Linked DNA regions of Sus scrofa. The protein of the gene in region 3 purifies or fractionates together with the protein of the main gene of each other region. This does not show direct contact. Links are inferred from orthologs where the notes say so. Each region holds a gene or a part of one and is shown on either strand. Other genes may lie near its edges.

Region 1 (4,143 bases), on a different chromosome or scaffold from region 3:
GTCCTTAACGAAATGACACTTGAGTGTGAATGATGATTCCTGCTATTTCAGTGAAGTCTGGGTGAAGAGACAGAAAGAAGCAAAAAGACATCACCTAGAATTCCCGTTGTGGCTCAGCAGTAATGAACCCGACTGATATCCATGAGGACACGGGTTCAGTCCCTGGCCTTGCTCAGTGGGTTAAGAATCTGGCATTGCTGTGAGCTGTGGTGTAGGCTGGCAGATACAGCTCTGATTGGACCCCTAGCCTGGGAACTTCCATATGCTGCAGGTGCAGCCCGAAAAAGACAAACAAAAACAAAAGCAAAAACCAGACATGGCCTAGTGGCTCTGACACTGACCCCGCAGTTGCTGGAAACAGAACCATCTTTTATTTCCTTGTCTCTTTAATGGTCCGGAGAGTGGGCTTTGGAGACGAGCAGGCTAGACCTGATGGGGATCCTGGTTGCCCTGCATACCAGCTATGGGCTCTGGGGCAAGTTAGTTAACCCTTCTGGTCTCGGCTTCTCATTTGTAAAAATCGGGGTGACAATTATACATCATAGGGTTGCTTTGAGAATAAATGAGATGATGTATTTTTGATATTTAATAAGAAGATAGTGCCTAAAAAGGAAACATGCAATAGGAATGTTTTGTTTTGCTTTTTTTAACTATTTACATGCTTTTACTGTTTTATTCTTTTTTTTTTTTTATCATTGCTGTTATTTTTAGGCCTTAGAGGTTTCCTCGGACATAGACCTTTGTGAGGATGTAGCCTTGATCTACAGGCATGAGGATGCCTTTTTAGCGGAGACTTAGGAACTTTTAAAAATAAAAGTTTATCTAGAAAAATAAATTTAAAAGAAACTGTTTAGAAATATCCTTTCTCGCATTAGAAAAGTGACTTAAACCATTTTCTCCTTCTTATAGGCCTAAATATTAGGTGTAAAATAATATAGCGATCAATCATAGAAAACTTGATTTAGTATATAGAGGATTTTCATAAGAGCAGATTGCTTATATTGTACAACTGATTTGAGTGCATTAAAAAGCATTTTATTCTTTCAGTCTCTTTTTTCATTCGTTGAATTATTTCTGCTCATTTTAAAAGTATTATCTGGGAGTTCCCTGGTGGCTCAGTGAGTTAAGGATCCAGCATTGTCACTGCTGTGGCTCAGGTCCAGTCCCTGGCCCCAGAACTTCCACATGCCTCAGAATAAATCAATAGTAACAATTATTATTTTTGTCCCTTACAGGTAAACCCATCTAATCACAGACTCTTGTTTGAAGTATTTGATGAAAATAGATTGGTAAGTGGTTCCTGATTTTTAATTTTTGCTTCATTTTTTAAAAATTGAATTTTCAGCACATCTTTAAAAAGTCTATATGTGTTTTATTTCTCACAGCATACATGTCCCTCAAAAAGACTATTTTTGTCCCATTACTAGTTTAATGTTCGTAATTCAAACAAATATTTTTGTGTGGGTAGGACAAAATTTATTTGTACCTGTGTAAGTTTTTAATCATAGTTAATATTCATGACCATCACACTGGTGGTATATCAAGCCATATATGCTTATACTCCTCTGTTGGGGATACAAAGAGGTGGGCAAATCTCATTACTCATGGAAATAAACCTTTCAGGATTTTTATATGTAAGCCAGACTTTGAGACTGTGACACGTTCAATAGTGAATCTCTTTGGGATGACAGAAATCTAATTAACAGTATATAGCAAAAAGTGAATCTATATTTAGCAGGTAAAATTAAGCTGTATTTTAAAAGCGGTGCTTTCTCAAGGGAAATTCAAAGAAAGTACCTTCAAAGAACCAGAGGTATGCCTAAGGCATAAAACTAGTACTAATATGTTGTATAGATTATAGGTTAAAAATACTTATATATGGTTGCCTGCATGAGGCAAATTCAAGTTTTGCTTTTTGGAACTTTCTGGAATTTTTTTTCTAGATATTTTTGATTTGCAGTTGGTTGAAACCGTGAATACAGAACCTGCAGATGTGGGGGGGGGAGTCCAACCATGTATTAATTGCTTAAAGGAAATGTTATTATGAATCCTTCCTTCTGCAGAAGTCACCTGAAACTCCAAGTTTTTGAATAGCTTGAGTTTAATAGAATATTTGATCTGGAGGAGGCTTATAATACAACTCATTTAATTCCCTGTCCTTGCATGTGAGAGAACTGAGATCTAGAGCCTTGATGTAATTACATACCTGCCCGTCTATTAAGTCTCAGGCCATTGGTGGTGAATAGCCAGGCCTTAACCCTTAGTATTGAACCTAGGAGTATATTTGATCTCCTATGCCTGGAATTATTCTCCAAATTAGAAAGCAACAGATGCTGGCCTACCATCCTGATATATTTTCTATTCAAATATACGGATTCTCGGCGGCTTTGCATTGAACTTGACATTTTATACCTTGGGTGATGCTTAGTAGTACTGAATAGCTAAATCAGTTTTGCCCGGTGCACGAAGTTATTTTGCTGTTAAATCAAATGAGAAATTCTGCTTGAGGGTGTAGTTCTTGGTGCTCCATCTCCTGTCCAGAAACACCGATTGGGCAGAGTTCAGCAGAGTCCCAGAGTCCACAGATGGAGCCACAGATTAATCCTTACTCTCTCTTTTATTGTGTCTTACAACATTTCTTCAAGGTGAAGAAATGGTCAGCTTTGTGGAAAAAACTGTCTCTTGTCAGATGTGTTTTAACTCATTTAACTCTTCTATTGAAAGAAATTCTCTGTAAAAAATGTTTCCCATTTCCCTTATCTAAAAGAATCACTGTTGTTGAGAGGACCTTGCCATGAGCCTAAAACTTATACTTCCAAGCCGAATAGGGCTTTGAATGCAGAGCTCTAAGAAATCTCATGTGAAACTTTATCTGAAAAACTGTTTTATGTACCTAGCTTTGCCCCAGGCTGTCTGCATCCTTGTTACTATGCGTGAATGCTGCTGCTGGTGGTTTTTTCTTTGTTGGCTATTAATCCAGCAGAGACACTACGTGACTATAGTGGTACTTGGCAGTTTTCACATTAAACAAACTAGCTTCCATTTCTCTCATAGAGATCATTTTTGGCATTTAAAACACATGCCTTTAGAAAACAGGTTTGGATGTATATAAACACAAGGTTAATCCTCCACACTCTGGACTCCAGAGCTGTTGACAAAGTCAACATATATTAAAATAAACTTTTTGTCACTTTTTGCAGCTTGGTATTCCCACATCCCTTCCCTTCTTACTTCCTCCGAAATAAGCCTCTTTGTTAATAACTCGTGTTTCAGGACAATGAAAAAGAGTATGTTTAAAACACTCAGAATATATCCAAGTTAGCTACAAATCCGATGACAGCTTTTTGAACGTGGACTTTCACTTTTATTACTTAGGTCTTTTTTGACCCTTCACAAAAATGTCAAGATTCTATGTTTCCCAACTGGGCTGATATTGCTGGCTTCTTACTGGAAAACAGTCAGCCAGCTCCAGTCAGCCTTTTTTTCCTGCATGGTATTGAAATTAACTTATTACAGAAACCACATGCATACCCTTTAATTTTCCTTCTCCTTTTTTTTGGGGCGGGGGTATTGTTTTCTCTCCTATCTGGCATATGGGAGAGAATGTTTTCTCCAGCTGGGTTCTTTTTCTCTGGTCACTAACATGTCCGAGAATCCTATTATGTGTGAGATGGTGTGCCGCCAGCACCTCCCTCCCCCATCGTTTAAATGAAAAACGTCGTAACCAGAGGCAGACCACTGCTGGGGAGTGTTGTAAGCGGTGCCCCTTTCCACTTAGCTATTTTGTTACTTGTAGGTCATGGTCTAATTATTTAGCATTAAATGGCGGGGTGTGTAATCGTATTTATAGTACGTTTTATTAGTTTGCATTCCATCATGGTAGTGTGGTGATATCATAAATAACAGGGCAACATAACATCCGATTGCTGGAGAAAGGGTTTTCCTGCAGCCCCGGCATTTTTACTCAACAACGTTTGGTTTCGTGGGAAAGGTGGTGGGGTAGGTGGGGGAATACTATGGGCGCTTTTCTGTGTTAGGAGCCGGGTCTCTCTCCTGCATTGGTTGGAGAGTCCCGGGGCCCTGCTTGGTTCAGAAAGAAGTGTCCTGTGAGCGCCAATGCGGTTAGATTTATAGCAGCATGGC
Region 2 (4,036 bases), on a different chromosome or scaffold from region 3:
AGGGCTTCTTTGCCACAACCCAAGAGCTGCATCTGCACACATCCAGCCTCTGAAGCTTTAGGAGATGCTTATATTCCATTTTCCAGGTGGCGATGTTCTGCTTCTCAGGCTGAGTGGTTGTATTAGTCAAGGTTTTCCAAAGAAACAGAACCAATAGGACACACACCCACACACCTGAGAAAGGGGGAGGGAGCGAGGTAATGAGGCGAGTGTTGATTTATTTTAAGGAATTGGTTTACGTGATAATGGAAGATGGAAAGTCTGAAGAGGCCCTGCTGGCAGGTTGGATATTCAGGCAAGGGTTAATGCATCTGAAATCTGCAGGGCAGCAGGCTGGAAACTCAGGCAAGGCTTCTGTGATACAGCCTTTAGGCAGAATTGCTGCCTTGGGAAGCCTGTCTTTGCGCATAAGGCCTTTAACTGATTGGATGAAGTCCATCACATTATGGAGGGCATTCTGCTTTATTCAGAATTTACTGATTTAAAAGTTAATCATACCTTAACAATAGCTTCACAGCAACATCTAGTTAGGTGTTTGGACTAATAACTGGGCAAAATAGCTAAGCCAAGTCAACATATCCAGTCTAATCTGAAGACATTATCCGTTTCACTCCAGAATATGAAATTCTATAGGATTTGCACAGATTCCTCCCAGATGAAGCCTGCTACCACTCTCCAGCTCTCCTCTCCTTGAGGTTAGGGTTGATGCTCCACTTTTGGCATCTGTTTGCCCCAGGGGCTACATTTTACCCCGTGTTTCCCAGGTTCTGTTATAAAAGTGGCACAGATCCTGTGCAGTCCCAGACCAGAGCCAGTAATGCAAACCATTCAGCCTCACTAGCATTTAAACTCAGACTAGAGTGCTAGGAAGTGCATTTGATTCTCTTACCTTTGTTTCCCTTTGGCTAAAGCCCTCTTTGCAAAATTTTCGAGCATCCTTCTTTTTGTCCAGCTGCAGTATTTTTGATACCTCTTTAGAAGTATTAGCTTGGGGAGTTCCCATTTTGGCTCAGTGGGTTAAGAACCTGACATAGTGTCCGTTAGGATGTGGGTTTCGATCCCTGGCCTCGCTCAGTGGGTTAAGGGTCCAGCATTGCCGCAAGCTGCAGCATAGGTCACAGATGTGGCTTGGATTTGGTATTGCCGTGTCTGTGGCATAGGCCCGCAGTTGCAGCTTGGATTTGACCCCTAACCCAGGAATTTCCATATGCTAGTTGCAGCTGTTAATTAAAAAAAAAAAAAAAAAAAAAAAAAGGAAATAGAAGCTGGATTGGCTACATCCACCATATATCCAACCTCCTCTCTGGTGTTACCTACTGTTTACTTTGTACCCAGCATGAGTTCAGGTGGATCAGAGGAAATAAGAAATGTTTAGTTGTTGTCCTCACCCTCTGGAAGCTTAAAATCTAGTTAGGTGAAACTGATACTTAACAGTGAAGCTTACCAAAGAGAAAACATTTATCATTATTTATTCATTATTTTATAGTAACAACTAAAGGGGATTTCCTTAATAACTGGAAGTTTTAAGCCACAGGCACTAGCAGTTAGATCTCATTGATTAGCTTATTAGAAGTGATTCATCTTTTGAGTCCTCAAATCCCTAACTTAATTCAAGAAGGAAAGCTGGAATTATTTGAAGGCATAGTGAAAAGATTAGGACTCTCCCTTCTGGTAAAAAAAAGAAAGATTTTAAGAGAATATGTACTGAAGCCTGTAATATCATAAAGGAAATAGGTTATGCAAAACCAAAATAGCATAATAATTTTATTATTAAATTTATAATTATACACATTCTAAAACAGTACTATCTCATTCTAGTCAGAAATAGAATTTAGTAAATTCCATATTTCTATTTTGTCCTGCCTTAATTGATTAAAAACAGTGTTTAGAAAATTGTGATTGAGAACAGATCTATCTTGAGTTTTCTTTTTTAAACAAAGTGTGAGTATATGTTTTACATATTTGCTTTCACTTAGGGAAAAAAAACTTACTTAGAAAAATACAACTTGGGTGTAGTACCATGTGGTGTAAACAACTGAACTATTTTGCTTTTTACTTTCCTATGAATGAGCCAGTATATATTTATTACTGGAGTTCCAGCTGTAAAATTCAGGTAAGGGGTTTAAATATACCCTAGAGCATTATTTAAAAATAAATTTGTTTCTTTCAAACAGAATACCAACCTTGGTCTATGACATTTAGGGGAGAAATTAAAATATTAAACTTTTATTACCTAGTAAACTGAAAATAAAGTAAAGGTTAAATAAATACGAAGCAGAAAAAAATACATATACAAAATTGCAACCTCTGAAAGGACAGACAGTCTACTGTTCTCTCCTGTGGGAGCTTTATCAGCAGTAGTAAGTAATTCTGCCTCTAGGGCAGTGCTAGTGCTCAAAAATGTAAACAAGTATGTACTTTGTTTATATAAAGAAATATGCGACATGGTTTGTACTTCTTTATAGGTATCAAACAACTAAATGAATTGTTTCAGTGCACCAGTAGGGGCCAGCAAAGAGCTCCTAGAGTTTTTCGCAACAGAATTGGCATTGAGATATGTTTATTTGATGTGTTAAATCCTTTTTAGACTTCTTTACTTACCACAACACTCTCTTAAGTGAATGAATTGCAGAGACAGTGGAATAAAATATCTTGTGTGCTCAAACTATATTGGGGTATAGTTTTTCTGTCTAATCTGCATATATTTTTAATGGAATGTTTTCTTAGCCTATTTCTTGGCAGAGTTTTAATAGTCCAAATATAAATGGCATCATTTAAAGACTGTACTGCTTGGCTGAAAAGGCCTTAAAATTACAGGAGAAAATGCTTGGTGACAGCTTCTCTCAAAATTTTTTTTTTCTCAGATGTATGCTCAATTTTTGCAATAGATTACTAGGCTAATTTTGTATTTCGATCCTTAAGCTTTCACTTTTTATAAGTACATCGTGTTTTAGAAGCTAAAATATGTATCTATTTGATTTAATGCTAAATTTTTAATTCACCTCAGTTTTGATATTTCCCAGTTTATACAACTGTTTGAACTTACTCATTTAAAAAAAATTAACAGTCTATATTCCTTTCTACATTTACTAAGTTGACTAGATTCCAGTATGACCACTATTTGGAAATTCAATCCTTGATTTGATACTCAATTACATGGGGTTTCATTCCTACCAACTTCCTGTAATTCTATCCCTATGGGTAAAAATATTAGTGGTCAAACTGCTGGAGAAAGTATAGGCACCGTGATTCACATAGTTAAATGTTCATTTAGTAGAGCTGGAGTGAAAAATACTGTTTCAACTTGAAATGCTAGAAGATTGTTGTTCTTGTGTTACTCATTCATGCAAATTGGAGAAGGTATAATTGAAACAAGGTTGGCAGTGTTTGAGGCAGTGTGCTGCAGCTGAGCTCAGCTTAAAGGTCGCTGGAAATCAAGTGCTTTGTAAGTGAAGGCATTTTGACTACAAGCGATTCAAGACATTTTGGAAACGTCAGTCGTCAGTCTCGGGAATGGGCCGTCTTTTTCTTTCTACGATATCTGGTCTCTAAGGTTTTACTCAGGATAAAGACCACTACTTACGAGCTCTTTTAGGCACCACAAATGATTTTTTCTTTCGATGCAGTGCAGCTGCTTCTAGCCTGTCTACCGACAGAGATCTTTGTTATGACTTTCAGCCCTTAACATGTTTGGAAATGAGAACAAATGGCACAAAGCTTACGATTGCACTTTGCAGCCAGAAGAAGCAATACTTACCCTTTGTCAGAAACCTCTGGAGATGATTTGGATAGCAGTATTCACATGTGCTTCACAAGACCAACACGGATTTCAACCTCTAACGTGGTTCAAATGAAGCTGACTCCCAGACAAACTGCACTAGCTCCGTTAATAAAGGAAAACGTTAAGTCTCAGGAAAGATCATCTGTTCCTTCACCTGAAAATGTTAATAAAAAGAGCAGCTGTCTGCAGATTTCACTCCAGCCAACAAGGTACAGTGGATGTCTTCAGTCTAGCCATGTCTTAGCTGGCAGTGAT
Region 3 (3,513 bases):
TTTCGGAAAGGGTGGCTGGGTGGGCCTCCTGCCCCTGGGGGAACCAAATTAAAAAGAAATGAGGGGGGGAGGGAAAAAAAAAAGAAATGGGCTGACTGAAGTGGCATTTCCGGGCCTGGGGCCTGGGGGAGGGCAGGCTGTGGAATTTATTTAGAAAGCTTGCAAAGCAGCTGGTTATATATATTTTTTTCCTCTCTCTCTCTTTTTTCAAACCTTTCCCGCTTGTTGCTCATGTTCTTTTCAGCGTTATGAGCATGTTTATGGGGCTGTTTGATCCACAAGCAATGTTCCCAAAAGGCAGTGTCCTGAAGTTCCAGAACACAGGATGTGAGCCCAAGAAAGTTGATGATGGTCCATAAAACGGGGGTGGGGTGTTAATTTCCTTCCAGAACCAGAAGCTCAGACCCTTCCTTCCTTCTAGATGTCTCGGGAGGTTGCCCTCCTGACCCCCCCAGCTTCCTAACACCTGTGCATTAGTTCTCAGCAACACAGCCTCTGGCTGGGTTCCTTCCCTTTTGCGGGAAAGGGCCAATGGTTTGACCCAAACTATCTGCAGAATGTTGGGTGCCCCAAGCCCCTCTCTTTTGCCTCCCAAAGCCCTCCCTTCGCAACCACGGCAAACTGCTCTTTGAGGCTTTCTGGCCGCCCGACACTTTTTGCTCTTCTGTTTTTTTTTTTTTTTTTTTTTCCTGTGACTCAGTTTTCATCATACATCGTGGCAGCAGCTCTGGGTCAGCCCTTCCTGAGACAGGAAGGGCCAGTGAGTCTGTGACGTTGCACTCAGAGGTCACCTGGCTGAAGTCTCCTGGGGCCCAGGCCGCAGATGGGGGTGGGGATGGAGCCCCCGCGGGCCGGGAGGGGACAACAGCCAGCCTCAGAGGGGAGCCTGGTAGGGAGGTGTCCTGGGCTGCTGTCTGCACCCTGTCTTGCCTCCTGCCTCTGCCCCTTCCTTTCCTGTTGTGTCAGAGGACACTGACACAGTCATATACCTTAACCGCGCTTCAAAGTCAGTCTCAGTTTGAAACCGTGAACCCGTGTCGCAAAGACGTCCAGGGTCTTGTTAACCCATGTGTGGTTACCCTTCTGTAGCCTGGTAATGCAGACACCCCACTCCGCCCCAACCCGCCCACACCTAGGGGCTTTGCTTCGTGTTTCTGGAACAGCTCTGCCTCGTCTTTGCTGTCCAAGGTTGGGCCTTTCCTCTTCTCTGTAACCTTCCATGGCTCCCGTTGCTCCATAGCATTGCTGTCCCGTAAAACCAGAAAGCAAGCCACACAGGCGATGTAGCACTGTCTGGTACCCACATTTTAAGAAGTAAAAACAGGCACTCCCGTTGTGGCGCGGTGGTTAACGAATCCGACTGGGAACCGTGAGATTGCGGGTTCGATCCCTGGCCTTGCTCAGTGGGTTAAGGATCCGGCGTTGCCGTGAGCTGTGGTGTAGGCCACAGACAAGGCTCAGATCCCTCGTTGCTGTGGCTGTGGTGTAGGCAGGCAGCTATAGCTCCAATTTGACCCCTAGCCTGGGAACCTCCATTTGCCACAGGTGTGGCCCTAAAAAGCAATAATAAAAATAGTAATAGTAATAATAATAATAATAAATTACTTAAATATAATTGAACAATTCAGATCCTCTGTCCATTCCAAGTGCTCAGCAGTCTCGTGGGGCTGCCGGTGACCATATTGGACAGCCCAGACTATCCTTCTGGAAGGTTCCATCAGACAACACAGGCTTACAGAATGAGGTCCGAACATCTCTGAGGGGCTTTTGAAATTTTCAAGCACCCAGCCCCAAGCTATCTAGCATTATTGATTGGTTTTGTTTTTTGCAGATTGATTTTCCTGTGCCTGTCTTTGCCCTGGAAAGCCCCTTCATCTCTTTCCATAGAGGAATCTCCTCTTTGAGGCCGGGCTGGAAGGCTCAGCGTCCCCGCAGGACGCTCCCCTTCTCCCCACAGCAGAATGGACTGCTGCCTCCGATTCTGTGGGTTCTAGAAGAGGAGGTAGCGTGCGTGGGAAGCGGTGGCAGGCCTGTCCGACTGTGATCCACTGTCGTCAAGCCCCGTTTCTCCTGAGACAGGTTTCAGTGGATCGTCTAACACACGGCGGTAGCCCTGCCCCGTTGGAAAAACAGAACCAGACAAAGGACGGCACTGTGTCCTTCGCCAGTGGCCCAGGGGCTGCGGAGCCTGGAACCGCAGACAGGAACACACCCCGGGTCCAGGCGGTGTAATTCTAGGCAGGCACAGCTCTGCCGGGGCAAAAAAAAAAACCTTTTCTTTGCCTTCACAAAAGGACACGTGTGCCTGGCCATTCTGATTCTTATTTTTAAAAATGAGAACTAGGGAGTTCTTGCTGGGGCGCAACAGGATGGGAGGTGTCTGTGCAGCGCCAGGAGGCAGGTTCGATCCCCGGTCCGGCACAGTGGGTTCATGGAGCTGCCATTGCCGTAGCTGCGGTGGAGGTCGTGACTGCGGCTTGGATCTGATCCCGGTCTGGAAACACCACATGTTGCAGCGCGGCCATAAAAGAAAAAAGGCGGGGGGGGGGCGCTAGTTGGTGTGCATGCATCTGTTTGTGTTTACTTTTTAAAAAACCATTGATGTATATACAGAAAAGAACACATGACTTAATTGTGCAACTTGAATTTTCACAAAGTGGACATTCCTCTGTAACCACCCCCAGATGAAGAAGGAGAACATGCCTGGTCCCCCTCAGGCCCCCTTCCCGACTCTGCTTCCCGTCCTAAGACCAGCCCATTTCTTGACTTTTAGCCCCAAGATTCCTTTTACCTTTTGAGCCCCAAGTTTCTGGACATCAGATGCGCGGCATCAAACAGGACATGTTTTTGGCATCTGGCCTGTTTTGCTCCGTATTAACCGTTGTCATCGTTTGTGGTTGGCTTTTGAATGCATTTGTCTTTTACGTCCCCTGGAACACTGTTGGGCAAAACTGCAGTGGTTCATTTAAAAAAAAGAAAAGGAAAGAAAAAACACTAGCTGTGAAAGACAGGTCTTGGTTGGGTGATGGTTTTCAAGTGTGAAAAAAAACCATCTCACATTTGGCTGATGTTTGTTTCCCCTGAGGACTTGCTGATTTTTGTCATGATCTGCCTTTTACGAAAGGAATCTCTGGTTAAGGTTGTAATCCGTGGGTCCGGGAAGGATGCTAACTCCCTCGCTGGCTTTTGGCAAGGCTGGATACAAGTTGTTTCCTCCAATTTTTCTGTTTGGCAGGTAGAAACGAAAGCCAGGGTGGACAAGAGAGAGGGGAAAATAAACTGTTCATTGCATTTCTGATCTGGAATCCTCTGGCTTCGCTTTAGGTACCATGTCTGCTCCAGGAGCCTACCAGGCGGCCGCTGGGCCTTCCTCGGCACCCACCTCGCCCCCGTCCTATGAAGAGACACTGGCCGTAAACAGTTACTACCCCACGCCTCCAGCACCTGTGCCTGGGCCAACCACGGGGCTCATGACTGGCCCGGACGGAAAGGGCATGAATCCTCCTGGGTACT

What was found.
Region 1: the proteins of LITAF (region 3) and NEDD4L purify together in Homo sapiens (affinity purification with western blotting; 3 studies listed by BioGRID and IntAct, counting the BioPlex papers as one, with this or other methods). This does not show direct contact. The link is inferred for Sus scrofa from reciprocal best matches to the Homo sapiens genes LITAF and NEDD4L.
Region 2: the proteins of LITAF (region 3) and NEDD4 purify together in Homo sapiens (co-immunoprecipitation; 4 studies listed by BioGRID and IntAct, counting the BioPlex papers as one, with this or other methods). This does not show direct contact. The link is inferred for Sus scrofa from reciprocal best matches to the Homo sapiens genes LITAF and NEDD4.

The regions. Positions count from the first base shown.
Region 1 is NC_010443.5:162,514,015-162,518,157, reverse strand, and holds the start of NEDD4L (E3 ubiquitin-protein ligase NEDD4-like), read left to right. Parts: upstream 1-1,338; 5' UTR 1,339-4,143. UniProt on the Homo sapiens protein: E3 ubiquitin-protein ligase that mediates the polyubiquitination of lysine and cysteine residues on target proteins and is thereby implicated in the regulation of various signaling pathways including autophagy, innate immunity or DNA repair.
Region 2 is NC_010443.5:115,988,976-115,993,011, forward strand, and holds the start of NEDD4 (E3 ubiquitin-protein ligase NEDD4), read left to right. Parts: upstream 1-1,231; 5' UTR 1,232-3,706; coding exon 3,707-4,036. UniProt on the Homo sapiens protein: E3 ubiquitin-protein ligase which accepts ubiquitin from an E2 ubiquitin-conjugating enzyme in the form of a thioester and then directly transfers the ubiquitin to targeted substrates. Specifically ubiquitinates 'Lys-63' in target proteins.
Region 3 is NC_010445.4:31,562,597-31,566,109, forward strand, and holds part of LITAF (lipopolysaccharide-induced tumor necrosis factor-alpha factor), read left to right. Parts: intron 1-3,324; 5' UTR 3,325-3,329; coding exon 3,330-3,513.